Linked DNA regions of Tribolium castaneum. The protein of the gene in region 2 purifies or fractionates together with the protein of the main gene of each other region. This does not show direct contact. Links are inferred from orthologs where the notes say so. Each region holds a gene or a part of one and is shown on either strand. Other genes may lie near its edges. The genes, in order: Polr2G, MED19 and RNA polymerase II subunit B1 CTD phosphatase Rpap2.

Evidence for each region.
Region 1: the proteins of MED19 (region 2) and Polr2G purify together in Homo sapiens (affinity purification with mass spectrometry; 3 studies listed by BioGRID and IntAct, with this or other methods). This does not show direct contact. The link is inferred for Tribolium castaneum from reciprocal best matches to the Homo sapiens genes MED19 and POLR2G.
Region 3: the proteins of MED19 (region 2) and RNA polymerase II subunit B1 CTD phosphatase Rpap2 purify together in Homo sapiens (affinity purification with mass spectrometry; 3 studies listed by BioGRID and IntAct, with this or other methods). This does not show direct contact. The link is inferred for Tribolium castaneum from reciprocal best matches to the Homo sapiens genes MED19 and RPAP2.

What each region holds. Positions count from the first base shown.
Region 1 is NC_087398.1:9,592,314-9,602,431, reverse strand, and holds Polr2G (DNA-directed RNA polymerase II subunit RPB7), read left to right. Parts: upstream 1-6,145; 5' UTR 6,146-6,272; coding exon 6,273-6,284; exon of another isoform or gene 6,285-6,333; coding exon 6,334-6,443; exon of another isoform or gene 6,444-6,494; coding exon 6,495-6,654; exon of another isoform or gene 6,655-6,706; coding exon 6,707-6,757; exon of another isoform or gene 6,758-6,806; coding exon 6,807-6,944; exon of another isoform or gene 6,945-6,992; coding exon 6,993-7,043; 3' UTR 7,044-7,097; downstream 7,098-10,118. Other genes in the region: CXXC-type zinc finger protein 1, read right to left, coding at 572-1,325, 1,375-1,719, 1,770-1,915, 1,969-1,992; uncharacterized protein LOC107397902, read left to right, coding at 2,331-2,670, 2,723-2,855, 2,917-3,108, 3,162-3,805, 3,869-4,302; uncharacterized protein LOC107397903, read right to left, coding at 4,343-4,706, 4,771-5,480, 5,531-5,724, 5,777-5,777; ras-related protein Rab-18, read left to right, coding at 7,369-7,436, 7,486-7,795, 7,843-7,968, 8,015-8,125. UniProt on the Homo sapiens protein: Core component of RNA polymerase II (Pol II), a DNA-dependent RNA polymerase which synthesizes mRNA precursors and many functional non-coding RNAs using the four ribonucleoside triphosphates as substrates.
Region 2 is NC_087395.1:19,587,241-19,597,486, forward strand, and holds MED19 (mediator of RNA polymerase II transcription subunit 19), read right to left. Parts: upstream 5,806-10,246; 5' UTR 5,733-5,805; coding exon 5,552-5,732; intron 5,500-5,551; coding exon 5,243-5,499; intron 5,192-5,242; coding exon 4,916-5,191; 3' UTR 4,817-4,915; downstream 1-4,816. Other genes in the region: RNA-binding protein cabeza, read right to left, coding at 124-169, 220-568, 773-1,043, 1,243-1,361, 3,073-3,101, 3,613-3,670, 3,721-3,825, 4,026-4,199 and 1 more; Ctl1 (choline transporter-like 1), read left to right, coding at 6,035-6,142, 6,190-6,572, 6,623-6,789, 6,838-7,067, 8,026-8,193, 8,247-8,385, 8,434-8,719, 8,765-8,927. UniProt on the Homo sapiens protein: Component of the Mediator complex, a coactivator involved in the regulated transcription of nearly all RNA polymerase II-dependent genes.
Region 3 is NC_087394.1:30,807,803-30,819,106, reverse strand, and holds RNA polymerase II subunit B1 CTD phosphatase Rpap2, read right to left. Parts: upstream 6,131-11,304; 5' UTR 6,010-6,130; coding exon 5,942-6,009; intron 5,885-5,941; coding exon 5,773-5,884; intron 5,724-5,772; coding exon 5,559-5,723; intron 5,512-5,558; coding exon 5,387-5,511; intron 5,343-5,386; coding exon 4,521-5,342; intron 4,472-4,520; coding exon 4,322-4,471; intron 4,276-4,321; coding exon 4,107-4,275; 3' UTR 4,081-4,106; downstream 1-4,080. Other genes in the region: Ns4 (guanine nucleotide-binding protein-like 1), read left to right, coding at 1-166, 216-725, 774-998, 1,562-1,809; uncharacterized protein LOC662435, read right to left, coding at 1,860-2,029, 2,082-2,249, 2,299-2,552, 2,600-2,746, 2,796-2,938, 2,985-3,233, 3,282-3,452, 3,497-3,601 and 2 more; Ubc7 (ubiquitin-conjugating enzyme E2 G2), read left to right, coding at 10,788-10,830, 10,882-10,963, 11,008-11,126, 11,176-11,304.

The DNA.
Region 1 (10,118 bases), on a different chromosome or scaffold from region 2:
CTCAAAAAATGCAAGGTAGTTCTGAAAATTAAATTAAAAAACCTGAAAAAGTTCTTTGTAATGTCACCAAACATGCACCAATCTCCTTTAGTAAGATATTTATTAAAAAATCACCCTTTATTTATTTAAAAAATTTTTGTTTTTCAGAAAACGTAACCATTTTTACAACTTTTTTCTAAAATATTACGTTGTCGTTTACTTTTTTCATTTTTTTGTGTTATTTACTACGTAAGCTTTTTCTTCCATTATTGATGGTGAATTTTCTATGAACATGAATTGAAACTACAACTACAAACTTTTTAAAACTAAACAATTAAGAACTTAAAAAGTAAAAAAAAACGACGAAAACTAATAATTTCATCAATTAATTTAAAAAAACGCAACCCGTCTATTTACTAGGTATTTTTTTCAAAATCAAAATCAAAATATTTTTGCCGGCCTTAACATTCCACCCTGAGCTATATTGCAATACAATACAAATTCTACTAAGCAAAAAAGATGGAAAAGTAGATTTTTTCGAGCAACTTTCTTAATTGTAGCATTAATACTTCATTTTTTTTTAATATCTTACCTCAGCCCGTCTCAATTTCTCCCAAACGTGATGCTTAACGCATGATTTTTTCGGCGCTCGACAAAACTCCCCTGTCAGATCGAAAACGTTGGTGACCAATGGACAGCCACAGACTTCATATTCGCCGATTTTCGGATCCTTGCAATGCTCTGGGCACAAAACCCTCAATCTTTTACAATAAGTCCGATTAGCTGGATTATAAAAATCGCAAAACATGTTATTCCCCTCAATTCTGGTTTTAAAAATACTCCCGAAACTCGCTTGAGATTCGTACTTGTTGAAACACTTTTCCATGTGTTTGATGGCCGTTTTCGAATGTATTTCGAGTCCGCATGTTATGCAATACATGGTCGACACTTCCGACTCTTCGTCGTTGTCGAAATCGGCGTTCGGATCAATGGTGGCGCTCTTGGCGCGCTCGATAATCGCGTCCAATTCGCGATGCCGGCTGTCCAACTCTTGCAAAATCTGTTTGACTTCGAACTGTTGCTTCCTGACTTGGTCGAGAGCTTTGATATTGGACTCTTCGGCAGAGCAGGGACTCAGGGCCCACTCTTGGATACGCTGTGGCAACACTTGCAAAATCCGATTGGTTGCCAACTTTAAGCCACACTGATCCGAGCAGTATTTCGAGCCGTAGCGGGCGCTATTGGTACACGTGGGCCCGTAGCATTGGCGCGGATAGTCGGTCATGAGGTGGGCATTGGGCGGGCCTTCCCTGTCCGAGCTTGAATCCCGCCTCTTGCGCCTCCCCCTGCAAATCAATTGGTCAAGAATCAAGTCATGGGGCGTGGCTACCCCACCCGCCGTAATTTATGCAAATCCGCTGCTTGCACCGCTCCTTGTTGCGCGGGGAGCCGTGACGGCTCCGCCTCGTGCACACGTCGCACCGCCCGCAGTCCTCGGTGCGGTAACACCCCATACAGTCCCCGCATTTTTTCATTTTTTTGTCGTTTTTGGTGTCACCTCGTTCTTTGCGTTTGCGGGCTTTGCGCTCCTCGGTGTTGGTGTTGGCACTGGCGATTTCGTCGCGTTTGGTCCGCCAACGAGTCTGCAGAGTTGAGTCCTCCTCGGAACAGCGAATACAAATGTATTGTTTGATCATTTTGGCCTCCTTTTCGGAGATGTTCATGCAATCGCCGTGGTACCTAGAAATGCATGATTTGAACAATGTGTTGGCATGCAGGTGGTTTTTTACCATTCTTCACAGGCGTCACACGCAATCATGAAACGGGAGCTGTCCGAGGAGCGACAAATGCAATAAGCTTGACCATCTTGCTTGAGGAGGGTGTCGATTTTGGATTGACGCTCCGGTAACAGAAACTGTTTAGCGATCTCTTCGCGCTAAAAACAAGGCAAATTAAACACAGTTTTGTCCGGTTTATGCCAAAAATTACCGAAATATCGCGTTTTCGAGACATCTTCAATTAACTTAACCTTGCTTCTTTTAGCCACTTTTCCTAGCTCTGTTAGACATTTGAGGTAGGTCAGCACCTTAAAGCTAAACAATCGCCATTTTCAATGCTTTTCTTATGGGCATTTAAAAGTTTTTCGTATTTCTTTAATGCTAGAAGTGTAGGAACATTACTTTTACAGAGAAATGATAGCTATGAAAAATGCAATGTCGTTTCTTAAAGATTTTAGCAACTGAGCTAATATTTCTGTAAGTTGAACACATAAATCCTTTTCTAACCTAACTTTTTTCAAACTTCAAAATTCAGTTTTTCTTAATTTGGACATCATATTGATGTAAATTATTATGTGGCCTTTTAAAACTGAGGGAAAAATGGTTTGCCACACTAATGACATTGGATTTCTTCTGAATGACGAATTCATGGGGTGCAACCGGCGCAACCCCAATAAACGGGTTGTTTTCTGTCCCCCTCCCCCATCACGAGGGATGAATAGCAGGTATACGAGGGTAGAGGGTTCAGGCACATACATGGTTGAAAGTAGTACGGGTTGTGAGTTCTGTGCTTCTTTCGTGAGTGTCTTTTGTTATCGTGTTTTTTCCGATCGTTCTCCATATCTTCGTGTTCTTGAATTTTTAAAATTCTGTTTTTCCAAGACATTATCTCATTTTTGTGGTACATCATTAGGTATGATTTGTGAATAATATTTTGTTGCGATACTTTGATAGTTCATGTGTAGTAGGTTTTTACATCACAACTATGGGAATGTGTTGGGCTCCAGATTGCAAACACTATAGTACTCGCGATAAATGCCATTTTTTTAGTTTTCCTAAGTCGGGAAAAGAACGAGCACTATGGAAAAAATTGTTGAGGTAATTTTTAATAGATGTTTTGATATTAATTTTTAATTGCTTGTTTCATTGTTAAATGTAGAAGAGATGTAGAACCCGGACCAGGAGCCTACGTTTGCAGCTGCCATTTTCGGGATGGAAGAAAGGAAAATGGTCCTGAATTATTTTTGCACAATATCGCAAAAAGAGCCTATTTTCAAGTGGAATCTCCAGAAAAAAAAAAGATGAAAAAACAAGGACTCCCTTCTTGTTCTAGTTCCGCTGAATCATTAAGGTAAAAAGTGAATCCTAGTTTTAAATTGATTTACAATTTGATCATTTGAATAGTGTTGATATACCGGAAGAAACAGTACCATCGACAATGAATTTAGAGGAAGTGCCATCGACGTCTACAGCCGTAGTTGCAGCACCAGCAGATATAATTCAAGATGCTCCGTTAGAATCTATGGGTGTGCAAGCACCCTTGGTGTCACATGCGGCTCTTGAAGCAGAAATGTATTTTCTCAAAAAGGAAAATGCTGAACTTAAAGCAAAAATACAATATCTGACAGTACGATTTTGCTATGAAAATGTTCAAGGAAATGACAAACTCATTGTTTTATATACCGGTCTTCCCAATAGCCAGATTTTCGAAGCATTGTTTCACTTAATCGAAAAGTTGGACATAAAATATTACCACAAATGGACAGTCCAAAAGTTAACTAGAATTGACCAACTCTTTTTAACCCTAGTAAAATTACGACTCAATTTCCCTCAACTTGATTTGGCGCAACGCTTTGGGGTTGCCCAAAGCACAGTTTCTAATATTATTTTAACATTTGTCCATGTAATATATGAAATTTTATATAAACAGTTTATGACGACAATGCCTTCGCGCGAAAAAAATAAATCTTGCTTGCCAACATGTTTTAGCAATTTTACTAATTGTAGAGCAGTTCTAGATTGTACCGAAATTTTCACTGTGGTATCACGTAAGTCTATGTCAACACAGAAATTAACATATAGTACTTACAAACATCATAATACTTTCAAAGGGCTAATTGGAGTTGCACCCAATGGTGTCATCACATTTGTAAGTGATTTATACGTGGGATCAACTTCTGATCAAAAAGTTGTTTTAAATTGTGGAATAATCGACATGTTAAAAACTGGAGATATGATTTTAGCCGATAAGGGATTTTTGATCCAAAATATTCTGCCACCAGGGGTCACTTTGAATATTCCACCTTTTTTATCAAATGTCCAATTTACACCAGAGCAAGTTAAGTGTACCGAAAATATTGCACGTGCAAGAATACACGTCGAAAGGGCAATACGCCGATTAAAATGTTATCATATTTTAAATTTTTTGCCAGAGTCTTTGTGCCACTATGGAGATATTGTTTTTAAAGCGACTGCCGCTTTAACAAACCTCCAATTTCCATTAATTAAAGAGGTAGCAGAATTGTTTCAGGATTGTGATGATTAAAATAATGTAAAATAAAAACCATCTATTTATATACAGTTTATTATTGTGAAATAAAGGAAATATATTGGTCAAGATAAAATTCTTTTAAAATATTGATATTTTCTGACCACCCCGGATCTTTTTCAATTTGAAATATCTCTGTGCACTTTGGTGTCCACACGACAAAGTAGCAGATACTTCGACCAGTGATGTGCATTTGCCCCTGTACTTGGTGGTAATAATTGTGATTGCTGTTAAGATTAATGTCCTCATTTTCATCCCTCCAATAAAAATATTTTTTATCCTTCAGGGCTTCAGACAAACTGTCAGTGTCCCTATATTTATATGGGCATTTAATTTCGAGAATCCCATCTTCTTCCACTAATCCATCAGGACTTGCTCCCAAAAAGCCTGATTCTTCCAACCTACAAAAAAAAGTAATATTACATTATTCATCTAAGTTATACGTGTTAATTATTTTCGACCTACCAAAATCCCGTCTCTTGGACTTTAAGATTCGTCGCTTCTTCAAATTCTCTGAGCGCTGTCTTCTCGTGGGTCTTACCCCACTGCACAGCAGCAACCCTGTCAAGCGAATAGCCTTCCGCCAAATTTTTAAATAAAGAGGGTGGGAATCTTCGTCTACTGCAAGCAGATAGTACCATGCCAAACCTGCTGGCCGTTAAACGATGTTTCCTTGCTACATGCCAATTTTCGTTAACATGTTGGCCCCGAGTGCACGCCTCAACCAGTTTAATGCGTGCCTCATCTATTCTGCACTTCTCCAAAAGAAACTTTTGTTTGTCTATGGCCTGCACGTATTCTAAGCTTTGTAGAATTTCTTCGATATCTGCAATAATTTTTCTGGCTTCTTCACTTGCTTCTGGTCTTAGGAGCCAAGTGAAGCCCACCACATTCGTGACGCCTATTTCGGCACGGAACTGAATAATTTCGTCCTCAGTAGAGGACCTAGACAGTGCCGTATAGTTTGATAATTTCGGCTTGTAAACATCAGCTAACTTAATGACTTCTGTTTGTGGTGTTGTTTTTGATGGGGCACTCCACTGACACTCAATGTCAGTAGCACTTACATTATAATGAGCATAATATAATGCTGCAGCCATATGATGGCAAGCCACGTTGCCCCTTGGGCAGGTACAATGTGCCGTCTTAACCCCTTCTTCTAGGTCATATGAAATCTAAAACACACTTTGTAGAAGAAATGTCTAACAGTTAAATAAATACAAACCTCCACAGTATAATTTAGCTTTTTCATGCTCGGTAGAACTTCTGCAGAAATTCTCATCGGTTGTACTGTGCCATCAAACCTAAATTTGGTGACGTGACCGCTGGTAAAAGCATTTTCTCCCCGAACTAAAAAGCGATTACCGTCCCCAAAAAATTTCGCAATAAAGTGAAACTTAACAATGTGCTTTTCTGCCACTAAAATGCATAAATATAATAGTTTCTCAAAGTATAATTAAAGCTTACTCACTTTCTCACCGACAACGTGGTTCCCTGTATTCTTTTATAAAGTTCGTATTTTCACAAAAAGTCACTTCTAAATTAAATTAAAGTCTCTAGTGGCACAAATTACACCCGCTGCAGCTATTTGACACGTTATTAACGCACAAACACAACCAAAAAACCGAAAAACGTATTACACCACATGTAAAAGACTGGTTGTTTAGCTTTGAGCAACTGACCTACCGTAATAAGAGTGGGGAGGTGACGTCACGACTGATAGCGCGTATTTTAAAATTTAGGTGTCTTAACAATAAGAGATAACAATAGGAATGATTAAATAATCATTTTGTTAAGTATGGAATGGACTTTTACAACTTAATAACATTGAACAACAAAAATAAATTACTAATTTTAATTATTAGCGCTTTGTTGGGTTGGTATTTGATACAACTGCCAACAAAAACATAACCTTAGATTTGAGCGGCAAATTAACGCGGAATTGTTTGTGTTTTTAAACAAAAAAAATGTTTTATCATGTAATATTACGACTAAATAAATCACTGTTTTATACACAATACTTTTTAGATATCGTTGGAGCATGAAATTTTATTACACCCGCAATATTTCGGCCCACAGCTACTTGAAAAGGTGAAAACCAAGCTGTATACAGAAGTCGAAGGGACCTGTACGGGAAAGTCTGTATTCAAATTTACTTAAAAGTGTTTATCTTCATTCTTTAATTTTAGATACGGTTTTGTAATTGCTGTAACCACGATAGATAGCATAGGGGCTGGCCTTATTTTACCTGGCCAGGGATATGTGGTGTATCCAGTAAAGTATAAAGCTATAGTTTTCAGACCATTTAAGGGAGAAGTGCTTGATGCTGTCGTACGGCAAGTTAACAAAGTGATTACGGAATATTTTCACTTCTTTTTTTACAAGATTGGGTTTTTTCTAGGTGGGAATGTTTGCAGAAATTGGACCTTTATCATGCTTTATCTCACATCATGTGAGTTTTTTTTTAAAGGGTGTGATAATATTGTGACACTATTTTTTAGTCTATACCGGCAGAGATGGAGTTTTGTCCAAATGTAAATCCTCAGTGTTACAAAACCAAAGATGAGGATGTTGTTATTCATGCTGAAGGAGAAATTAGATTGAAAATAGTTGGTACACGTGTGGATGCCACTGGAATAGTAATAAATCAAATATTTCAGTTCCAATTTTTTACGATTCTTTTTTAGTTTGCAATTGGTACTTTGATGGACGATTATTTAGGTTTGATAAGTAACTAGAAGTAAGGGCGTTTTAATGTATTTTAAGTCAATAAAAAGTTTTTTCAATCACTATATGGCGTTTCTTTTCAAATTACCCGCTTCTCAAAGTTTAGTTGCAGACTGCAGGCAATGCAGAAATCTGTTTTACTGTTGTAAACATGTCAATGTCAAGTAATTGTCATTAAAATTTGTTAAATTTTTTTTTAATCGTAAAGTTATAATTGGTTTCAACAAAATTCAGTGCCAGTTATTGTAGAAGAATCGCATTACTTCCAGAAACCACGAAAATATTGTTTTCCGCATTAGTTTCATAACTACGCGTAATCCCCATTGTTGATTAGTAATGGACGAAGAGGTGTTGACGACGTTAAAAATCCTGATAATTGGAGAGAGTGGCGTCGGGAAATCCAGGTAGAACAAGAAACCAAACTATTTACCCCACTTACTACCACCTACTTAGCATTTTAGTCCGCTTTACTGAAGACAACTTCGATCCTGATCAAACGCTAACAATTGGCGTTGATTTTAAAACCAAAAAACTCACAGTCGATGACAACACCGTAAAGCTGGCAATATGGGACACAGCTGGTCAGGAGCGATTCCGAACATTAACACCCTCTTATTACCGCGATGCACAAGGTGCTATTTTAGTTTATGATGTCACCAACTATTCCACATTTGCGAAACTGGAAACATGGTTGAACGAACTGGAAACATACTCGACGAAAGCGAACATAGTCAAAATGATTGTGGGAAATAAAATTGATAAAGTAAATAATCACTTCCAAGGCTTCATGTGTGTAATAATGACTTTCAGGAAAATCGGGAAGTGAACAGGGAAGAAGCGATGAAATTCGCTAGAAGACACCAAACACTGTACATTGAAGCAAGCGCCAAAACCAGAGACGGGGTCCAGTGCGCTTTTGAGGAACTAGTGCATAAAGTATGGATTAAGTCACAACTTCGTGATCACTAATCGAATTTTTTAGATAATACAAACTCCAGGGCTTTGGGAATCATTTGCATTAAATGGAAACTTCCAGGTGGATAATAAGGATCATCCTTCAGATTCTAGCTCTTGCTACTGTAGCTTGACTTAAATACTCTTCTATTTGTGCTGCTTTTATCCCAAATAATTTTAGAATAACAAATTAATATATTTTCAATTATTTATAGTCATGTGAATGTGAAACAGAACACATTAAATTAAGTTGAAACTACTGTCGTTTTACACTTGCCCACAGTTCTTCTTCACATGCATTGTCAACACCCACTTGGACACAAAACCTTTATGGCATTTACCACACTTGTAAGGCTTCACCCCTGTGTGTTTCCACATGTGGTATTTCAAATGACCGGCTTGCATAAACGTCCTTCCACAATAAGTGCACAAATGTGGAGCTCCCGTATGTTTTTTCATGTGATACCGCAAGTTATCGTGATTTTTAAAAGAAGCGCCACAAATATTACACAAGAAGTTTCTTCTTTCGCTGTGTATTGTGGCCACGTGGTTGTGCAGAGACTGCTTTATGCTGAACACCTTTGGACAGTCTGATATCGGACAATTAAATCTAGGAGTTGCGTTACTGTGTGTATATTTATGTTTGCTGTATGAGCCCCTTGACAGAAATGATTTTTGGCAAATGTTGCATTGAAACCTGTGTTTCATTTGGTAGTGATTGATGTATTCTTCCGTATCGTGGAACTGGCGTGAACATGGCCCACAGTTTATTTGGCCACTGTGTGAGTGTAAGTGTGAACGGAACAAAGTAAATCTCTTGAAGGTTTTTGGGCAAACTGGACAACTTAGAACTGTGGTTCTAGAACACGATTTTTTCTCTTCAGCTGGCTCTGTTGCGTGGTCAGAGTCAACTGTTTCACTGTCTATGGAACAATTATCAGAGTCACTATCGCCGTTCCATTTGTTGTTTTTGTACTGTTGGGTCAGTTCGACTGACCGTTTTATTAAATAGTCTTGGTCATCTGAATCGTACTGTTTGTTTTTCCTACTACCGTCCTCACATTCAATAATAAAACTTTCCGTATCGTTGCCAAATTCTTCAAATTGTGTTTGAATTGTGTCCAGGCTGTTTTGTAACGTCTCTTGTGATTTTTTAAAAATTTCCACAAAGTCGTTCCCTATTCGTAGCTTTGTGTAACAAGAATGGCACAAATTCCGGGGCAAATCTACATTGTCGCTTAGCTAAAATTTTGAGTTATTTGGGGTGATATTCTCAGTTTTTCAAACCTCAAGTGATAAATTTTGCAGCATGGAGACTGGACTGATCCCCAACTGTTCAGTTTCAAAAATTGGGAAAAAATCATTGCTGACTGAGAGACATGCTCGACACACACTTCCCCACTTATCACTTTTGCTCATTTTGTTTCAAGATTTAAAAATTTTATAATAGCTTACAAACAATAAAGGGACTGACAACTGACACAATTCATGAGCCCCAAATGGACTTAACCTCAAATTATAAAAGTGACAAAGGTGAACTGTTCCACAATTTATTTAAACAGATTTTGTTCTGATTCAACTACAACTAGTTTGTGCTAGTTTTTAGCTTTAAAGCATAATCAAAAACAAAAATAATTGATTAGAAAAGGTTGATTAACAGAATTTCAAAAATCTGGTAACTTTATGTTTTTAAGGTCTTTAAATTAAAAGTTGGTACAGAAAGCAATTAGTGGGTATTGGTAAATTTAAGAAAAGATACTTAAAAGATGTACCTAATCGGCATTTGAATTACGTTGGCTTTTTTTAGACTATAGTTTTATGGAAATAATTTGCGCAAATTTAAATAAACTTGTCGTGGTATTTAGTATTTGTGTTTTCGAAACAGTGCGTACACCTTATACCTCGCACCTTGTATTTTCATGTTTGACGCAAGCGCATTTTTAAATTAATTGTTGACGTTTTTCACCGTTTGTTTTATAAGTTTGAAAACTGCTTTTAAGTTAATTATAATTGTTTTATGCACTAATTGATAAGATTGTGTTTGATATTACGATTTGATTCAGCAGTTACGTGTAACAGTGACAATGACCCAATAAGTTTACTGTTTCTTTGTGTTCATGATTATATCCTTT
Region 2 (10,246 bases):
CGTGTTGTGTAATTACTAGAAAACACAAAGCTTTAAATCTTATAGATCACCTTATAAAAACTGAAATGAATATGATACTGTAATGGAAATAAAACACTCATGAATCTATTTGGAAAAAATCTTCTAATACGGCCTGGAACGTCCTCCATCGCGACCGCCGCCACGATCCCTAAACATCAAAATTAAAATCTTTCCTACACCAAATTTTGTCACAAATACCTTCCGCCTCCTCCTCGACCGCCGCCGAAACCGCCTCGGCCTCCTCTTCCACCGCCAAATCCGCGACCTCCTCGATCACCACCGCGGAAACCGCCGCCACCACCTCTTCTATCTCTTCCACGGTCACGGTCTCTACCGCCTCCGCCGCCGCCTCCTCTGCGATCTTCACCCCCGGAACCGGCACCTTCCGGCTTATCTTCACTGCATCTATTGCACTGATTCCTCCAAGCAAAATTTGTGTTGCCACAGTCTGGGTTTGGACATTTCCAGTCTCCTTCGCGGCTTTCGCGGTCTCGGCCACCGCCACCACCGCCGCCGCCGCTACCGCCTCCACCACCACCGCCGAAACCTATACCAAACAATTATTGTTTGCCAATCAAATAAAAAAAATGTTTCCCTAGACAGGATACATCAGAAGCAACCAAACTGCTACTGTGTGTTTAATGGGGAATTAATCTGCCCCTTAAAATAAAAACAGATTTTGGCCTATTTTAGACAAATCTGGGTCGGAAGGGGTATTAATTTCTTTTAAAAAAATTGCAAACTCACGTACCTCCATCTCGGCCTCTTGGGCCTCCTCCAAAACCGCCCCCGCGGCCGCCACCTCTTCCACCTCCGCGGCCGCCACCGCCACTCCAATTATCCTTTTTCGTGGCCAACTGTACCCTTATTTGAGTACCACCGAATTCTTTCCCGTCGAACCAAGAAATTGCTGATTGAGCTGCATTGGAATCGTCATACGTAACAGTGGCTTCACCCTTTGAAAGTCCGGTCTGTTTATCTTTATACAACCAAATCTTCCGTTTCTGGGTTTTCTTGTCCATCTAATCGGAACGAAATAATCATTTCAAATTTGTCAAAAATGGAATTCTTTGTAGCAGATTGAATACACTTGTTTGCAAATATTTCTTGCAATCAAGGAATAGCATCTGTCATAATATTGCGACACATCAAAATTGAACTTGGTCAAGAAAGTGAATCCAAGCACAGAGTGCAGGTCGCTGAGTTTAGTCAAATACTTACTTTAATCACGCCAATCGAACCAAAATGTTGAGCAATTTCGTCTTCGGTGAGATTTGGATTCATTCCAGACACAAAAATCGTGTCGACTTGAACCACCAAGTTACTGCCGCCGCCATTATCTGGAAATTAATACGAAAATGATGTCAAGGGTGAAAAATAATAATTTTACTAAAATTAATTGTTGCGCCAACTAACTCAGTTCTCAAAAACTGTTTCACATCTTATGGTGTGTAAAAACAATACTATATACCTTTTCTCTTACTCTCTCACTCTGAATAAACCTTAAACTTGACCATAACGCACCTTGAAATAAATACCAATTTTTTAATTTAAGACCATTGCGTTTTTGATGCCATTTTACCACGCAATGAAGAAAAAAACCTTCTACAAAAAATAAAGTATGCACTTAGCGCTCAAACGGACAGCATTAAAAGTACTCCTCAATCGAAATTTGTCAAATACGTATCACAATATACCCAATAGAACCTTTTTATTTAATACCAATGAATATAAAAGGAAAAACTTTATTATCCTTTTACCTTTAATATATATATATTAAAATCATAGTACCTCATAAAACCATTCGTAACTTTTTGAAATCCCGATGTATAACAGGGTGATTAAAAAATGAAGGATTAACTCTTACAGGGTGATAAAAGACGTTCAGTTAAGCATAATAATCAATTTTTTTTGCAACCGTATTAATTCTTAGTATTTCTTTTTCCTTAGCAACCGTATTAATTCTTGCGCATTTCTTTCCCATATTGTTGAATTCATTCTTAAATTTGGTAAATTATAAATGTTTTATACGTATTATAGGTAGAGAATTTTTTCAATAATTATCTAATTTTATAAAATCTCTCGAGAGATTTAAGATTACTTCATCTTAACCCAAAGATATAACTTTGTAAAAAGCTATATCTAGTGAAGAAAAAAAGGATCACAATTTTTTTTGTCATAGGAACTTTTAGCTTAGTTGGATGTATTCATCACCATCTAAACGATATATAGTCGGAGACTTTTGAATCACCCTGTACACGAGAAAAATACTATTATGTATTCTTTTACCTTTACTCTATCAATAAAAAACAATGTACTCAATAAGACCTTTCTTTTTCAAACGCCAATGAAAATAGAAGGAGATACTAAATATAAATCTTAAAACCACCTATAAAACTAATCCAAAAACTAGATTTAATCAAATGGACCAAAGATTTTCTTTGAGAACATCTAAAGGTTACTGACAAAACATTAATTACTCAAATTTTTAAAATTTGCGAAAAAGAAAATAATAAAGTATCAATGTTAACAACCATATCTAATAAAAAAATAATAATAATAATAATAATAAGAAATATTAGAATCGCAACTGACGTTTAAAATTCTTTATAAAAACTTGACCAATCGAAACCCAAAGATTTTCTAATAAACATTTTCTGTAATGATTTTGTAAGTTACTCCAATGCTTTATATTTTTGTATAAATGTACAAAAAATTGCAAATACGAAAGAAGTTACCTAATCAGCAAAGAGGAAACAATGAAATGTTGCAACACTTTTCGAAGATAAACAACTTGTCAATTATAGCAACGCACCCTAACATTCGCAGGTGAATAGTGGAAGAGCTGTTTACGTATGATTATTTAGTATTCACATTATAATCGCGGGTCTAAGTTTTGAAACAAGTCCAATAATGGAACACCAAATAATCAAAATGTGTGGGAAATTATAAAACGTAAATAAAAATAATGCAGCTCTTCCAAAAACCAATAAAAATACCAATTAAAAAGTGTACAAAAATGCACTGGTCACAGTGACTCAGTGCTTTTACCTTTGTTATAACCACCCCTGTTGCCGCCTCTAAAACAGAAGTAAAACATCAGTAGTTGTCGAGAGAATGGAGGGGGGTGAAAAACACACACTTCACCAACCATTTTGTTGGCATACACATTGTCTTCATCCACGAAGATCACCTATTTCTAGTTGTTGTCACGTCTATGTACGATGTTTACCTTATTTTTAAACTCTCAAAGATTTTATTATACACCTCAATAACATAACAACCATTTAATTGTAGTAACAACCAACTCAACCTTTAAGGACCGTACCAAAAATAAATACCTCAGGAAAAACCACCTGTTATAATTTAACTCAAGTTTTAACGGCCATTTTCGGCCACCAACAACAAACACAGACGTGTGTATTACAACAAAATACTTACACTATTTAAACTCTGTAAGCAAACTGATATTAATACAGTTTCAACGATTCTTTGACAATAAATACCCATTCATTCATTTTTTATCATTTTACTACCTCCCATCCAAAGTGTAATACCAACAAAGTAAAAGAACAAAAACCGATAACTTACCCATAAGAATCACGTCGATCTAGAGGCCTTTTGTCAAAATCGCCACGGTCTCGGCCTCCTAAACCAAAAATAATTAATTACAAACAACACACAAAACTATGAATGTACCTCCATAGCCGCCACCACCGCCGCCGCCATAACCGCCACTATTGCCGTAGCCACCGCCTCCGCCAGAGTTGTAACCACCTCCTTGGTTATAACCGCCGCCGCCACCTGGAACAATTGACGGTAGTATAGCAAAAAAACAAAACAATTCTTTCAAAAGTAATGTATAGGCGAATGTCTACCCCTTCTCATATCAAGATAAGAAGGGACTATCAATTCCCTAATTATTCTGCGACATAGTAGGAGGTTTCAAGTTTATTAAACAAACTCAAACCATGCCTATGTCGCCCCACATCACTGTTTCTTACCTTGACCGCCGCCATAGCCGCCGCCAGACGAGCGTCCTTGATTCCAAGATCCGCCGCCGCCGCCGGCACCTCCACCTCCCCCGCCCGGGGGGTTGAAACCGCCGGTCGGCGGTGCCCCGTACGTATTGGGATACGCAGTACTGGGGGGCGGTTGGGAATAGTCGGCGTACGATCCTGCAAAAGTGGTTTGTACATAAATTACCCAAATAACGAAAAATCGATAATAATGAAATTAGAGCAAGCCGACGTGAAAAATGCGAACTACCACAACTTCGTAATGTGTTAAGTAGTCGAAATTTGAATACACGAGGTGATTTCGTACAGGGATGAGCGAGATTTTTTAAAAATCGGGATACTTACGATCGCCCATCTTCTACCGTTGGGATAATCGAACAAACAGGAGGAAAATGGATGCGAGGGAAAAGACGCTACGGATTGGGGGCTTGTGATTGGTCGGCGCTAACAGCCCTGCCAACCCCACCAAAAAAACACACTAAATAAAGCACGCCAAAATATTAAATTTTCCACAAACAACCTTGTTTTATATTCTCAGTTCCACTTGAATACCGTCGAGGTACTTAAAAACAACATTTGTGATGGATATAAATTGTAATAATAAGTTTGTATGAAACACAGCTGGAGAACTTGTTGTGGCAGCACTGAAAACCTTATCAGAGTTCAGGGTCGGCCTAAGGGCATTTGTAGGCCCTCAAATTTATTATTTTTTGATAATCATGAATTTAATTAATCTAGTGGTGCTAGCTTTGCTAAAACGACCAGTAAAAACTTAATAAAAATAACAGTCTGTTTATTTTCAAAAATAATAAACAATAAATAATAATAGATCTTAAACCTAGGGTAAGTTGGAATTATTCACAATCCAAAGATCTTCACGAATTTGAGTGTTGGCTGGGCGTTAGGCCCCCACTGTGTTCAGGACTGTGTTTCTGCTTTTTTCTCTTCTTTTCCTTTTTCCTCTTCTTCCGTTCTTTATCTTCGTCGTGTCGTTTCTGTTTTTTATGCTTCTTCTCGTGTGTATCACTTCCAGCATCGGTAATGGTAGTCTCCTGACTTGGAAGCCCCCCATCTTTGTGTTTGTGTTTTTTGTGTTTATTTTTATGCTTTTTCATAGGCGCCGCATTTGCGTAGCGGTATTGTTCAGGGAGCTAAAATCCAATACTCAACAAAACACATTAAAGGGAAATTATCAAGCTTACCGCCCCAGGGTGTAGTCTAAACCCATCCAGTTGGATGCTAGTCAATGGTAACAACTCCTTGCCCCCAATTGGAGGCTTCTCAATCACTGATCTTAGCGAACTGTTATCATGCTGTCCAGGAGAGTCAATAACGCCAGGCAAAGTTGGCAAAAACGAAGATAACTGTTCCTTGAGTTTTTTCCCACTGAATTTGCTGTAAGAGTGCTCAAGGCCATAATAGGCCATCAAATTCGTCGCTCCTGTTAGTTCCGACTCTCCTACAACCACCGTCCGCGTGATTTAAACGACTTCAAGCCTTGTCTTGCTTACCTGGAGGCTCTTTCATCAAATAGAAAGGTCCACTAGGGACAATTGAAGGGTTCTTTCCTAACAAAATTGTCGTTTTTAATGTTCCTGACGAATCCTGACGTGAAACGACAGGGGAACGAGCCCCTCTAGGCGAAGATTTGGGCGAATATTGTTCCACTTTACGAAACTGATCGCCCATCATCTTACAACTTCATCGTTTTGCAACAACGATGCAGCTGGAAATGGGAAATGTCACTTCAGCATCACGTACCAACACAAAATCGTCAAACAAACAAACAAATCAATTGTTACCCTGGTAATTTTCACGGTCTGGCGTTTGGAACCCTGCTAGTTTGGTAACTTTAGGTTTAGTTTGGTTGGCGAGATTGTGCAATTGTTACTGTTGCTAAGATACCGCGTCGAAGCCGCCGCCCCCAAAACATTGCTGGTTTTCTCAGTGAAAACATGCGTCTTTTGTGAAAAAAGTGGTTTGAGTTAACGAAAATGGGTTGTTGCGAGTCGAAAAAGGAGCCCGAGCGGGAAGAACCCGCTCAGAGAGGGTGCACCGACGTGTTTTGGTTGTGTTTGTACATTGCGTTTTGGTTACTAATGGTAAATAACCTTGATTGGTGTGTAATTTGCCTCATTAATATTTTTAGGTTTTAATTGCGGCGTTCTCCTTTGTCTACGGCAATCCCATCAGAATTATAAACGGCTATGACTCATTTGGGAACATTTGCGGGACAAAAAATAACAGAAAAATGTCCAATTTGGAAGTATCAGGACTGGACACTTCAGACAAACAATTTTTGCTCTTCTACGATATTAAAGAGCTGAAACAGTCGCTGAAGATATGCGTAAAACAGTGTCCCACGGAGACGTTAAAAAAAGTTGAAGATATCCAGAAATATTACCAAAAAACTGGCGTCAGTTTGTGTAGATATGATTTTAATTATGACGATTTTAAGAACAAGAGTATTGCGAATAAGGAGATTCTGAGTAGCTATTTAGGGCCGTGTCCGGCACTTCCTATTTACGAAAGGTATTTCCCCTAAACTTGTGTTCTATAAAGATAAAACTGGTTTTCTAAAGCACCCCAGTTCTCAACCGTTGCGTTCCTAAATCATTCCAAGATGCAGGCGAAGCAATTTTGAGCAATTTTTACGAAGCTTTGAACAGTTGGGACACACTTGAGCAAATTTTGGGCGACATATACAGCACCTGGAAGGAAATCCTTTATTTAACGTTTTTATCACTATGTGAGCCTTTGGATAGTCACAGGAAAATTTGTACAGTTTGATTTTCAGTTTTTTCGCTGTTAACTATCTCAATACTGCATCTACTGGCCCATTTAGTGTCGTACATAATCATGATTTTGTTCACAATTGCGAGCATCTTGGGCACAGCGTTTTTGTGGTACACTTATTTTGATATTAAGTATGATTTGGATAAGACGAACAAACACATGCTTTTGATGGAGTCAATTCGCAACGAAACGGCCTTTTTGTGGTACTCAATCATCGCCACCGTTATCACAGTAAGAGAAATAATTAAAACTTATCGGGATGTCGTTCATATAGTGAACGAAATAGCCTGTAAAATAACTCAAAATAGTCCGTAAAGTAGTGGAATACATACTTTTCTAACGAAATCGAGAATCAGCCTGCAAACCGACCCATATAGTTTAAAATGTACCTTCTTTATTTTCATTTTCTAACACTTAATTTTTTTCATTGATTACGATACAAGGTGAATTTGAACGTAATACCATTGGGAGCTTATTCTATAGAATTAAGTTTTTTGTAATAGAAAGTGAAGTTAACAAGGATTGTTCCTAATGTGTATAATGTCATTTGCAAAATGTTTTAAAATTTACATGATTTGAGGAATTATCTTGACACTGAAATATATTTTTTAACACTTATAACATAACGCTGCTCTACATAATACACTTTATGGACTATCTTGTCTTGTCTGTACTGACTACTCATATTTATAACTACGGGGATTTCAGTGCCGAAAAATACTATTTTACGGACTGTTGTGGGTTACGTGTGCTATGTAAGTTTTGGGATTTTTTTACTTTAGGTACATTTATGCAAATTAAATCTACATCTAAAATAATGGTACAGTTTTTGTGTAACGTATTGTGTTTTTTGGACGGTGTTTATGTTAACTTTTCTTATCTTTTGTTATATATTCTGCGTCTTAGTTGTGCTGCTTTTCAAGCTTCCCATTCATATATAATAATAATAATTCATATAATATTGTGTTCAAAAGCCCACATAAAATTTTTGTTATTGAGACTTTCAATAACAACTCTCGGTATTAACTGCTTTAACCCTGGTAGAAGTCGTTATACAAAAAAGTTTGGCAACATCTTTAAGAAACCCTTGTACTTATTTTAAAGAATTGAAAAACTTTTTCCAAAGCTTACGTAACATTCGTTATTTCGTCCTCGTTGCGGACAACTTCAGAAAAATAGCTGTTTTTAGGTCATAATTTTATTAATTGTTGCTGTGATGCGAAAACAAGTCAATTTTTTGTCGGACTTGTTCAAAGAAACGTCCAAATGTTTACTCCACCTCCCGGCTCTGTTTTTGCAACCGATTTTAACATTTATAATCCTCGTTTTATTCTTCATGTTTTGGATTTTCGTTGTGGTACGTCCCACGTTCACCAGTTTTCGTAGTTAAATTAATAAAAAAACTTCCAGTTATGCTTGGCTACGGCTTACTACCCTGGAACCTCCCGAATCAATCGCTTTTCTAACGAGTCCTTCACCACCCCTGTGAGCCATACGGAACCGGTGGCCAAGTTGGGCAACATTTCTTTAACCGAAAAATTCCTTGAAAGTATTCATTTCGCTTTTGTACTTTCTTTGTTTTATTAATTACTTTCAGAAATGACAGTGGTCGAGTTTACCGACCCAACATGGGTGAAATACATGTGGTGGGTCTATTTTATCGGTCTCATATGGACGTGTGAGTTTATTATGGGTTGCCAGCAGATGGTAATCGCTGGGGCAGTGGCCCATTGGTTCTACCGCCACAAATACAAAGACAACTCGCACGTTTCGTACGCCATTTGTAAATTAATAAAATACCATTTAGGGTCGGTCGCCATTGGGTCACTTTTGATTACGATTTTCAAAGTCCCGAGATTGATTTTAATGTTTTTACATGAAAAGTAAGCGCAATTTTTGAATTTTCGTGAACTTATAAAAAATTTCAGATTGAAATACAATTCGGATAAAGGCAGCGAATGCGCGTCTTGTCTGCTGAAATGTTGCATTTGCTGTTTCTGGTGCCTGGAAAAATTCATCCGATATTTGAACCACAACGCTTACACTGTTATTGCCATCGATGGAGTTAATTTCTGCTCAGCTGCTGGGACGGTAAGTTTCAAATGTATTTTTTTTAAATAGTCCATGAAAGTTATTTCCGTAATCAGTTATGAAAAGACCGATTTTGTTTAACGAACATAATGTTTGCCAAAACGAGTAAGCACAGCGAACAAGTTTTGCAAATTATGCGAGTTAAACAATAATAGGCTTCTAATAACGTATTACGTATTTTTTTTAAATTCCGTCGTAAGTTGAAAATTTATTTTTCATTGTTCTTCGATTAATAGTTTTAGAGAACATTGCAAACAAATGCAAAAATAAAGAAAAATTATAATTTAAAAGCCATTGAGAGTTTGGCGATTTCTCGGCGCCTATCAACTTCTCAGATCATTTTATATAACTTTTTATCAAAATAGTTCCACTTTTACATTTAGTTTTCAAATATTTGACATTCATCGGGCAATAACTCCGAAACTAATAAACGTAACTTTATTAGGTTCCTTGTCGTTGGATTAAAACTCTTCAATTAATCTATTTTTGTTAAAAAAAATCATTGTTCTCCGATTAATAGTTTTCATGAAAGTTGGAAACAAACGCAAAAAGTAAAAAGAATATCCAATCATTATTATCAAACTTTCAGTTTTTCAATTTGTTTAAACCCTGGATTTAAAAATCAGAATTCTGAGCCTAAACTTTTGAATTCAAAATTTCAAAATGTATTTTTATCTTTGTAAAAAATCCCAAATGACTTCCTTTCTGCATGTATTAGTTATTACCATAAACAATACTAAAGAATTTCAATTTATGAATTTAAAAAAATAAATTCACAAAGCATAGTCTTACGAGCACAAGTTTCAAGCTAAAATTAAACTCAAAAATACAAATTTTAGAAGTTATACTTAAAATGCCGAGGTGAGAAGCAAAGAATTCAAATAATATCTTAAATTTTTAGAACAGTTACTTTAATTATGATTTTAAACCAAGTAGAAATTGTGAATTAAAAAAATGAACTAATCATTGAGCCAGAACCAAAATTGTGTAAATTGGAACATGGATGTTTTTTGTTAATTTAAATTTAATTTTAGAATTGTAACTATAAGTCAAACCGAGGTTAAACTTGATACTTAAAAACATAATTTTGAATTAAAAGTTGGGTGCCTACATAATTTAAAACTCCACTGAAAATTCCATATTAAATTCGGTATGGGTTGATTTCAATATTTTTGTGATAAAATTTCTTATTTTAAAGTAGGTGAGAGTTTTCCGTGAGTTTTTATTTGTAATATACAATTTGTTTTTAATTTTTATTTATTTTATTTAATGTCAGATCCAATTTAGTTAAATTTATTCGTAGATTAAATCCACAGAAA
Region 3 (11,304 bases), on a different chromosome or scaffold from region 2:
TTGAAGAAAGACTTTATTTTAGTATTGAATAAAATTGATTTGGCCCCAGCGCCGTTAGTCGTGGCGTGGAAAAAATACTTTGAGGAGAATTACCCCAATTTGCACATTTGCATGTTTACCACACTCCCTGGCTATAATCTAGTTGGCACCCAAGTGAATAGAGCTGGTTTGTAGTGTGTAATAAATTAATTACAAGATTTAATTGTTAATTTTAGGTCTCCAAGTCCGTAAACGCAAAGGCAAGTTCCGATTGGCTGCAGAAGGGAGTCAACAGTTGTTTGAAGTTTGTAAAACCATAGTTGGGGATAATATAGACATAAGTTCTTGGCAAACCAAAATAAAGGAAGAAATGAATTTGGAATACGAAAACGATGAAGACGAGAAAGTTGAAATTGGAGAAACAGTTCAAATGAAAGCAGTGGACACGAGTTACTTCGAACACGAAAAATACAAAAACGGTATTCTCACAATCGGCTGTTTGGGGCAACCCAACGTCGGCAAATCGTCACTTATTAACGCAATCATGGGGAAGAAAGTCGTCAGCGTGTCCAGAACTCCAGGCCATACGAAACACTTCCAAACAATTTTTTTAACGCCCAATGTGCGGCTGTGCGACTGTCCTGGTCTAGTCTTTCCGTCGAAAACACCAAAGGTTATACAGGTTTTGATGGGGAGTTTCCCCATCGCCCAACTTAGGGAGCCGTTCACAACGATAAAGTATTTAGGTATTGTTTTTAATTTTTGTTCTTGTGAGTTTTGAGAATTTTTTATAGCGGAACGTATGGATCTACCAAATATGCTGAGGATTGAACATCCAGAAAATGACGATACTTGGTGTGCCATGGACATTTGTGATGGCTGGGCCAAAAAACGGGGTTTCCTGACAGCCAAAGCCGCCAGGTTGGACAGCTACAGAGCTGCAAATGATTTACTGAGGATGGCTTTGGACGGGAAAATTTGCCTGTGTCTCAGGCCACCCAAGTACTCAAATAAAAAAGGTAGTTGACATGTCGAACAACGTTATTTTTTGTATAAGATGTCTCATTGCTTCTTTTTTTTATTTCATTTGACTTCGTTTGGAACATACGGAATATTTTAATTGAAAAATGTAGTTTTTGAAGAAAATTGCAATCGTTTCCTCATAATAAATTCTATCGTTGCGATATAATTTTTTTGGGGTAACTGGAAGTATTTTTTGACTAGCATTAAAACTTGAAACTCCCAAGTTTAATAGTTGTTTAATAATTTTTAATTTTGTGGCTATATGTAAAGATTTTTGATTACTTTGTACGTTTATGTGCCTGTCTTACAAACTCGTATCAAATATGATTCAGAATCCTGCTCATCAGCATGTAACCAATACAAAAAGTTGTCTTTATTTATCTCTTGACATAAAAGATAAAATAAAAGGTTTTCAGTTGAATAACATTTGGAATATGTTTAGAAGGCATACGTGAATCACTGATTTTTGTCCAAGATCTAGCTAATAAGAAAATCATGAAAATTCCGGGCAAACGCTGGTTGAAAAGAAATTGAAACTGCGTTATGTTTTATTTGTTAGATTATTGGGCCTCACACCCGGAGATCGAGAAAGTGAAGTGGATTCAGGCCAAATCTGACGATTCCACTCAGCTCGCAGACGACAAAGACTACCTCTCTGATGCTTCAGATGAAGACAACGTCCCGGGCTCCTCCGGTGACCACAAAGACCGAAGCAGTGAAGAAAGCGAAGACGAAGAAACTGACTCAGATGAAGAGCCGACGAATTACGCCCACAATAAATTTGCAGCGTTGGCAGACGACGATTGAAACAACCACGATGTTGAGTATTTTTATTAATAATTTATCATTAAATCCCATTAATTTTTTTGCTGCTTTTGCATTTTCTTCCACTTGTTGAACGGAACGACAATTAGTGGAACTAAATCTTCGTTTTTCGTATTCGCTGCAACGATTTCCTGACTCTGTTTTTTAATATCCTCCCTTGTCAGTTGCTCACTGGCTTCAACATATAAACCCTCCAACAAGGCTACAATTAACAATTAAATGAACGCATCCGTGTTTGCGTTTTGTGCAATTACAAGCTTCACTCAGGGGTGCCTCAGACTGGTCTGCCAGAATCATTCGCTCCTGCATCATTGATTCAATATTTCGAAAAGCCTCATCGGACTTTGGCTCGTGTTTGAGCGCAAAGTAGTGTGACATTAAGGGAGTGAATTTGGCCACCAAAATTGGCACAATTTTTGATCCTAAAACACTGATTTAGTTACATTTATACAAAAATAACCCTCAAGTAACCGTCGATTTCATCTTCGACAATTTCCTGTGGTTTGTCCTTCCTCTCGGCCAAAACACCAAAAGGGTGTGAGCTAGGAGCAGGTTTTTTCTTAGTTTCATCCGACAGTTCATACGAGACTTGTAAAAGTTGCCGCAAACCTATGCGAATATTTGCAGCTATTGTTCGCTTGATTTGTAGCAGTTTTGCATATCTTTTTTTTTCACTCCTGAGTCTCTCCACTTCATCCTTTAATTCCGTCTTCCTTGCTCTGTATCTGGAATTTCAACTTTATCAAAAATTCATTTGTAATGTAAAAATTACTCGACAGTTGTCTCATTCATCGTATTCTTCAAAACCGAGTTCATTAAATTAGCGTGGTTGGTTTTGTTCAACATGATGTCTCTATCGCGTTCACATTTTTTTGTCAGGCGCTTCAGACGCCGTTTTTGCTTGAGCTGTTCTTCCAGACTTGAATATTGTCATTAGCAAAAACAAGAAACAAATCTTTCATTCTCACCAAGGATATATCGTATCATAAGACCGTGCCAGCGTTGTGTTTTTAAGATAGACAAGGGTTTTTTCAACCTGGCCCACATCTCGCCGCAGATTTTCCATGCTGGCGGAATCCCTGATACTTTTAGCACATGTTGTGAGGTCGCTCTAGAAAATCTAAACAGTCGGAGGGTTTTAATACCAAACAAATTACATCTTTTCGCAACAACAGCTTAATGCTAGCAGTCGCACGGTCAATGTGTTCTTGCAAAACGCGAATGTCAGTCTTACGAGTGGTCATATCTTTGATTATAATCTTTTCCAAAGTGTCGTATTCTTGTCTCCTGTCGTCCAAGTATTCCGTGGCGAGTTGTCCCAGTTTGGTAGCGCCCAGGAAGCATTTGCTTTGGCTGAAGCCGTCGTACTTTACCGTTGCTATAATCGCGTCAAAGTATAAAGCGTCCTAAAGGCAACAATTTCAAATAAATTGACTCCAAAACACTACAAATACTTTTTTCATAATGTCGATTATCTCGCGGTAGATGTGATAGATCGCCGAGGCGCCTTCTTTGCGCAAAATAGCGTCCTGTAATTTGCCGGTTATAATCTGCGCCTCTTTCTCCTGTTTGATTTGGCCGAGGAATGCGTATTTTAGGCGGTCCTCCAGCAGCGCTTGCTCCAACTGTAACTCCGGTCACAAAACTATAAGTTGAATTGTTTCGTCACCTTTAGATCTATCAGTTTTTGCGACCGCATCTTTTTCTCGTATTTCAACCGGTCCAGGACCTTGCGTCTGTTAAAATTACGTTGTTTAATTTCCTCAATCACTTTCTACAACAGAGATTGGAAGAAAAGTAGAGATTTTTAAGCGAAACCTTCGGCTGTGAATTTTGGAAGGCCAACTGAAGCTCCCGGTGTTCGGCTAAAGTGTTGCGCAGTTTTTGTTTATCGCCCCTAATTTGGTTGTCCAGCTCCCTTCGATCATTGTAAACCGCCCGTTGCAAGTCTTTAATAAGCCGCGTCAGTTTTCTCCGAGTCACATTTGTGTCGAGTTCGATAATCTTCCGGTCTCTAGCTAAAAACACAGTCAGGAACTGGGTTTAAGACAATTTTTCAATTACTGTAAAGACTGATGAGTCCCTTGTACTGATTTATCTTGTCTTTTGTTGTCCATTTGTCGGACTGCATCCCATGGAGCTTCACCTTTTTGGCCGAAAACATGTTAACGTTTAAATTCATTTTGAAACGCGAAAAACCCACGGAAAAAATCAAACCACGCGCATCTTTCAACGTAACGTAAAAAACGATCGTTGCTACTTGATACATTTTATTAAAATTATTTACAAATGTAATTTTCCACAAAGGTATCGATATCAAAAAGAATGTTCAAGGTATCACTGACTATTTGGGTTTTGTTGGGGAGTGAAGACAGCCAGGTGTTTAACTGACTTTTGGACGCCTCCTGGTCCAGAAGCTTGCGCAAGTTTTCGTCCCTCACGGCCAGGCTGGAACATATCATTAGAGAGAGACTAAACCACTGGTTGTGCTCACATTTTCAGCAAAATTATAGCAATGTAGGTCCAAATTGCGGGTTTGAAGACAATGTTGTCCGCTTTCAGACTGAAAGTCTTGACCAGGGATTGCAAATCTGACAAAACCAAGCTCGGACTTATCCTCAAAGTTTGGAATAAAGTTTGTACTCTGTAAAAATTATTTGATAAGTTGTGCTCATGTCATTAGGAATACGTACGTTTTGTTGAGTGAATTTAGGAAGATTTTTCTTCTTAACGCGTTTTGTGAGTTCACATCGACCAAGGGCAGCACTGCCGGTTGTTCCTCTTCTTCATTAGTCGTGTCTTCCTTTTTCGAGGGGAAGTTTTTGTCTTCCTGGATATGTATTTCGCCACTGTAGAAACACTTCACCTTTAAGTCGATTTCGCGGCTTTCTTCCTTTAGTTGTCGATAGTCAGGGATTGGTTTCAAGGCCTGGTTTCCGACAACGGCTTTGTCAAATTTTTCTTCGGCCAATTCTCTTAAATGCAGCTTTCTGCAAATGTCGATGTATCGTTTCTGTTGCTCCACTTGCAGTTGTGATATTTTCAGAGCGTCAAAGTAGTGGCTTAGTTTTTGACTATCCAGCTTTTCTTTTACTTTTTCTTCGCCGTGAACAAACATGAACGTTTCTAGAGTTAACCACTCTTTAATACATTTGTAGATGTGTGATTCCACGTCAGTGGCGTTTGTTTGTTTAGTTTGAGCTAACGGTTTGTCTTTTATTTTCGGGGTGTTTTTATTTTCCTTATTTAGTATTTCTACAGATTCTTTCATTTCGTCCATTTTTTCTCCTGATTCGACTTGTTCTTCTTCCTCATTTTCGTTAATGGTTTTCATTGCATTTCTTTGGTACTTTCTGGGTTTCTTTTTTTGCTTTATTTTCTCCTCCTCTTGAGGGTTTAACTCCAATTCTTCTGCCTCATCTAATGACATTTGAGTAAAACTGGATACTGAAGTAAAATATGGTTCCACAGCTGGTTTTATTACACCCTGATCTATCATCTCTCCTGGCAGACCCCTGAAATATTTTTTACAAAATGTTATTACACACGAATTGTTTACTTTTCTGATTTGTTGAGGAGCGTGTAATGGGCCTTTTCTTGATACTTTCTAAGCCATAACGGACTGGTGTCTATTTGGCCTTTGATATGAAGACTGGCGCGATAGCAAAAATTGCTACAATAATTCTACAAACAGACAATAAAAATGGCATCACAGCTGATTTATCTCGTACCTTGCGATCTGTTATGTCATAAACCTTGTTGTTTTTAGTGGAAATGTAAAATTGTTTCTTTGGCATGTCTGGAATTTTTTTGGAACAAAGTGGATATCCGCACAGCTTGCTGATAGCTCTTTCCTCGACAATGTCTTGGTAATGAGACTGGTTAATGTAGGGTAACTTTATAAAACGAATTAGTAACTACGCTGCACCATCCTATTTTACTTACACATTTGAACAAAGCATCTGACCTCATTTTCCCTTCTATTGCAAACTGAAGTATTTGCAGTGCTTTCGCATCACACTCCTTTTTTATTTGAGCAGTAATAAGAACTTCTTTCCTAGAAACAATTAGTTAATTGGGGCAAGTTAATCGTTTTTTATTAGTGAAAACTCACTTAACCTGGGTTGGTCCCTCTTTGCAGTTGCGCGAAATACGAATATAATCTTCGAGCGAATCTTGCATACTTTTTAATTAAAGAAATTAAATCTGTTCATCAAAAACTAAAAAAAAATTGAAGAACAGTGCATAAGTAGCATAACCTTCCACACTTGTCAAATTGACAGGCTGTTTAACGTCACGATTCACGTGACCTCAATCATCTCGTTGATTGGTGGAAATTGATGTCACGTGATTAAATTCGTGCATTTTATCGATTTTTTAATAAATGTTAAATGTTGGCAATTGTTTTGGTACTAGTTGTGGTGACAGTTAATCCATAATTTAAGTTTAATTTAAATATTAGTTCTAAATTATTGTAAAATTTTACTAATATTTTGAATAAAAATTTTTGAGGTAGGCAATTCTTATGCGCGACCGTAAATAATTGGTTGCATACACAAACCGAAGTAAATTTGTAAATTTAAAATTCTTAGGATTAATGTTACAAAAACACAAAAAGTACCGAAATTTAAAGACTTTTTTTGCGTTTCTACGATTTTAATACACATTTTGATTTTAATTTTAAAATTTTAAAAACAATAATTATTTTTCGCTGTAAATCGCAAAATTTCAAAATGGATTTCAACCTGCCAAAAAAGTTATTTTAATAAAATCTAAATTATTTATACATTAACAATGTAGATTTTTTAAGAAGATTACAAGGATTACAAATTTTGAACAATTTTGAATTTTTGCAATTTAAAAATGTTTTTTAAAGAGTTACAGATTACTGTAACTTATTGTTTTACAAAATGACGTATAGAAGCACAATCTTTATAGTTTTCTGTAACATCATATTTCGGCGTCTAACCCTTAGATGTCACGACCTACATAATATACTAATGACATCTAGGTGTTTGGTATCAAAGTAAAATTTTATAAAATTCAATATGTTATCTTTGCACCTTGTTTTAAAATTTCATTATAGTTTCCTGTAAATTTTTTAACACTAAGAAATAATTTTGGAATAATTTAAAACCAAAATGTGTATTAGGATTACAAGAACGCAATAAGGTCTTTACATTTTCTACCTCTTGGCATTTCTTTGATTTTGGTACAAACTTTTAATCTCATTTAAAAAAAAAATTATTTTTGACAGAATAGACAGTAAATTTGCATAAAATTTTAAAATTTATAAAATAAGTGATACAGAAACGCAAACAGTACTTAAAAGATTTTATTGCGTTTTTACGATTTTAGTATACACTTTAATGTTAACTTTTACTTTAATCTGTATTATTTTTACTGCCGTATAATTGGTTGCCTATACAACTTGTCAAACATTAAATCTAAAGAAGTTATTTTAATAAAATCCAAATTATTTAAACAATAACAGTAGATTTTTTTAAGAGGATTACAAGATTTTTGACAATTTTAAATTTTTGCTATTAAAAATGTCTTTAAGAAAGTTACAGATTACTGTAACTTACTGTTTTGTGAAATTACGAATAGAGCAGAAGCTGTTTTTATAGTTTTCTGTAAAGTTGTATTTTGCCATCTAACCACTAGATGTCACGACCTACAATTAAAAAAACTAGTGCCATCTAGTTGTGCATTTAAGTACGATTTTAGAATTTATTATTTTAAAACAGTGAATTATAGTAACCAGTAAATTTTTGAGAACCATCTTAAAAATAATTTTGGAATAATTTAATTTTGGATCAGGATTAGAGGCATGCAAGAAGGTCGTTACATTTTCACCTCTTGGGATTAAGTTTTAATTTGTTTTGAGTTTTTTGAACTTGATTTTAGGTTGTGGGATTCTTCTCGACTACAGTTTTCGAATAGTGCGACTCTTGGACCATCATTTAGTTTGGAAGTATTAACGCATGTTTGTCATAGAGGTTTAGTGACAGCGAAGATGCCACAGAACTTGTTAATTTTCCGAAATAATTTTTGTATATATTTGTTGGATATTATGTAGGTACTCACTGTGATTTATTTTATTACAATTTCTTTTTAAATAATGTCACAGTGTGTTGTTACCGTTTATATTTCTTCATAAATAACTTTTAGTGAGAAAATGAACTCAATAATTATAGTTTTTTTTTTAATAAAGTGTTGAAATGTGTTGCTGCCTTTTATTTTTGGTCATAAACAATTTTTAATGGAAAAAATATGCAACCCAGCATACACATAAATGCGTTGCTGGTTGCAAACAAAAATTGCTAGAAAATTTTGACCTCCTTGCGTTCCTATGATCCTGATACGAAATCCTTTTTTAAAATTTTGCAGAATTTCATGTAAATTTTCTCGCACTTATCAAAATTTTTATAAAAATTGAAGAAAATCTGCTATTCACAAAATGCGAAATATCTTCGTTCCTGTTAGAGATAGAGGGGTAGTTCTGCCCTTTTGAAAACCCCACAGCCCCGTAGTACTTTTCCTGGGCTATCGAATAGGCTAGGTCCCGTTCCCGCATCTCCCTCAGGAACCGAGATAGCACTGCACATTTTTAAATCGGGAATCGAAGTACATGACGTAATAGTACTTTAAAAGTTATGTAAACCTGCAAAATTTCAAGTTGCTACGATAACAGGAAGTGTCTCAAATTTAAGTTGAAAATATTACAATTTCAAAATGACAACAAACAAAGCAAGTTGGATAAAAACTCTGATAAAAAACTTGGGCTTTTTTGTTGAAAATCTTTATTTAATGCGATTTATTTGGAACATATTTTACGAGCTAATTTAGGGGCACTTCCTGTTGTCATAACAACTTGAAATTTTGCATGCTTACATAACTTTTGAAGCACTATTACGTCATGTACTTCGATTCCCGATTTAAAAATGTGCAATGCTATTTCCGTTCCTAATTGAGATAGGGCAACGGGACCTAGCCTATTCGATAGCCCAGGAAAAATACTACGGGGCGGTAGCGTTTTCAAAAGGGCAGAACCATCCCTCTATCTCCTACAGGAACGAAGATATTTCGCATTTTGTGAGTTGCAGATTTTCTTCAATTTTTATAAAAATTTTTGTGAGTGCGAGAAAATTTATGTGAAATTCAGCAAAATTTTAAAAATGGATTTCGTATCAGGATCACAGGAACGCAAAAGGGTAATGAGAAAAGATATATAACTGAAAATACACGCATATGTATAACTGGTTGCATGCAAACGCCGCTAAAAATTTCGAGACCTCTTTGCGTTCCTATGATCCTGATACGAAATCCATTTTTAAAATTTTGCAGAATTTTACCTAAATTTTCCTTCACTTATAAAATTTTTTATAAAAATTGAAGAAAATCTGCGATTCACAAAATGCGAAATAACTTCGTTCCTGTTAGAGATAGAGGGGTAGTTCTGCCCTTTTGAAAACCCTACCGCCCCGTAGTATTTTTCCTGGGCTATCGAATGGAATAGGTCCCGTTCCCGTATCTCCCTCAGGAACCGAGATAGCACTGCACATTTTTAAATCGGGAATCGAAGTACATGACGTAATAGTGCTTCAAAAGTTATGTAAGCATGCAAAATTTGAAGTTGCTACGATAACAGGAAGTGTCTCAAACTTATGTTCAAAATATTTATAATTTCGAAAGCCAATAAACAAAACAGGTTGAAAAAAAACTCTAATAAAAAATTTAGGCTTTTTTGTTGAAAGTCTTTATTTAATGCGATTTGTTTGGAACATATTTTACGAGTTAATTTTGGGGCACTTCCTGTTGTCGTAGCAACTTGAGATTTTACATGCACACGTAACTTTTGGAGCACAATTACGTCATGTACTTCGATTCCTGATTTAAAAATGTGCAGTGCTATCTCGGTTCCTGAGGGAGATACGGGAACGGGACCTATTCCATTCGATAGCCCAGGAAAAATACTACGGGGCGGTAGGGTTTTCAAAAGGACAGAACCACCCCTCTATCTCCAACAGAAACGAAGATATTTCGCATTTTGTAAATTGCAGATTTTCTTCAATTTTTATAAAAATTTTGATAATGAAATAAAATTTTAGTAAAATTCAGCAAAATTTTAAAAATGGATTTCGTATCAGGATCACAGGAACGCAAAAGGGTAATGAGAAATTATAAATAACTTAAAATACACGCAGATGTATAACTGGTTGCATGTAAACGCCGCTAAAAATTTCGTGGCCTCTTTGCGTTCCTATGATCCTGATACGAAATCCATTTTTAAAATTTTGCAGAATTTCACATAAATTTTCTAGCACTCACAAATTTTTTTATAAAAACTGAAGAAAATCTGAAATTCACAAAATGCGAAATATCTTCGTTCCTGTTAGAGATAGAGGGGCGGTGAAAACCCTACTGAGCCGTAGTATTTTTCCTGGGCTATCGAATGGGATAGGTCCCGTTCCCGTATCTCAATCAGGAACCGAGGTAGCACTGCACATTTTTTAATCGGGAATCGAAGTACATGACGTAATAGTGCTCCAAAAGTTATGTAAACATGTAAAATCTCAAGTTGCTAACATAACAGAAAGTGCCTCAAACTTAAACTTTAAAACGTCTTAAACTATTTTTTTTTAAATTGTAGGTAGTGACATTTGGGTGTCAAATCTTAAAGTACCTTTTATAGAGATCTATAAAACATTTAAAAATAATAAAATCTAAGGTAGTGACATCTAAGCAATGACTGCAAAACTACGCTCTTATAGTAACCTGTAAATTGTCAAAGTACCATCTACTGAGTCTGATCTATAGCTGTTCGATGGAGTTGGTGATTGCAGTGCACTTTTTTTTAAGAATTGACAAACGCTCACGTAAAATATTATAAAGAATAATTAAATTCATTCAATGCACATTTTTGGGTGCTCATATTGTTCAAATATTGATAAAAAATGGCAGGCTCAGCTCTAAGACGCCTTATGGCCGAGTACAAGCGTAAGATGCAAGCCTAACCTCAAACTATTTGCATTCGTTTTATGTTTCTAGAACTGACTCTGAACCCCCCAGAAGGTATCATTGCTGGTCCAATAAACGAAGAAAATTTCTTCGAGTGGGAAGCGTTGATAACGTAAGTTGTCTTTGTAGGGAAACTTTCATATGACGGGTTTTTAGTGGCCCTGAGGGGACATGTTTTGAGGGCGGTGTTTTCCCAGCTAAACTCATTTTCCCCCCGGACTATCCCTTAAGCCCTCCTAAAATGCAGTTCACCTGCGAAATGTTTCACCCTAATAGTAAGTATATTAGGGTTTTTGTAACAGGAGATGAATCAGCAGATTTTAGTTTATGCTGATGGGCGAGTATGTATTTCCATTTTGCACGCCCCTGGAGATGACCCTATGGGCTATGAGTCAAGTGCTGAGAGATGGTCTCCTGTACAGAGTGTTGAAAAAATTCTTCTCTCAGTTGTCA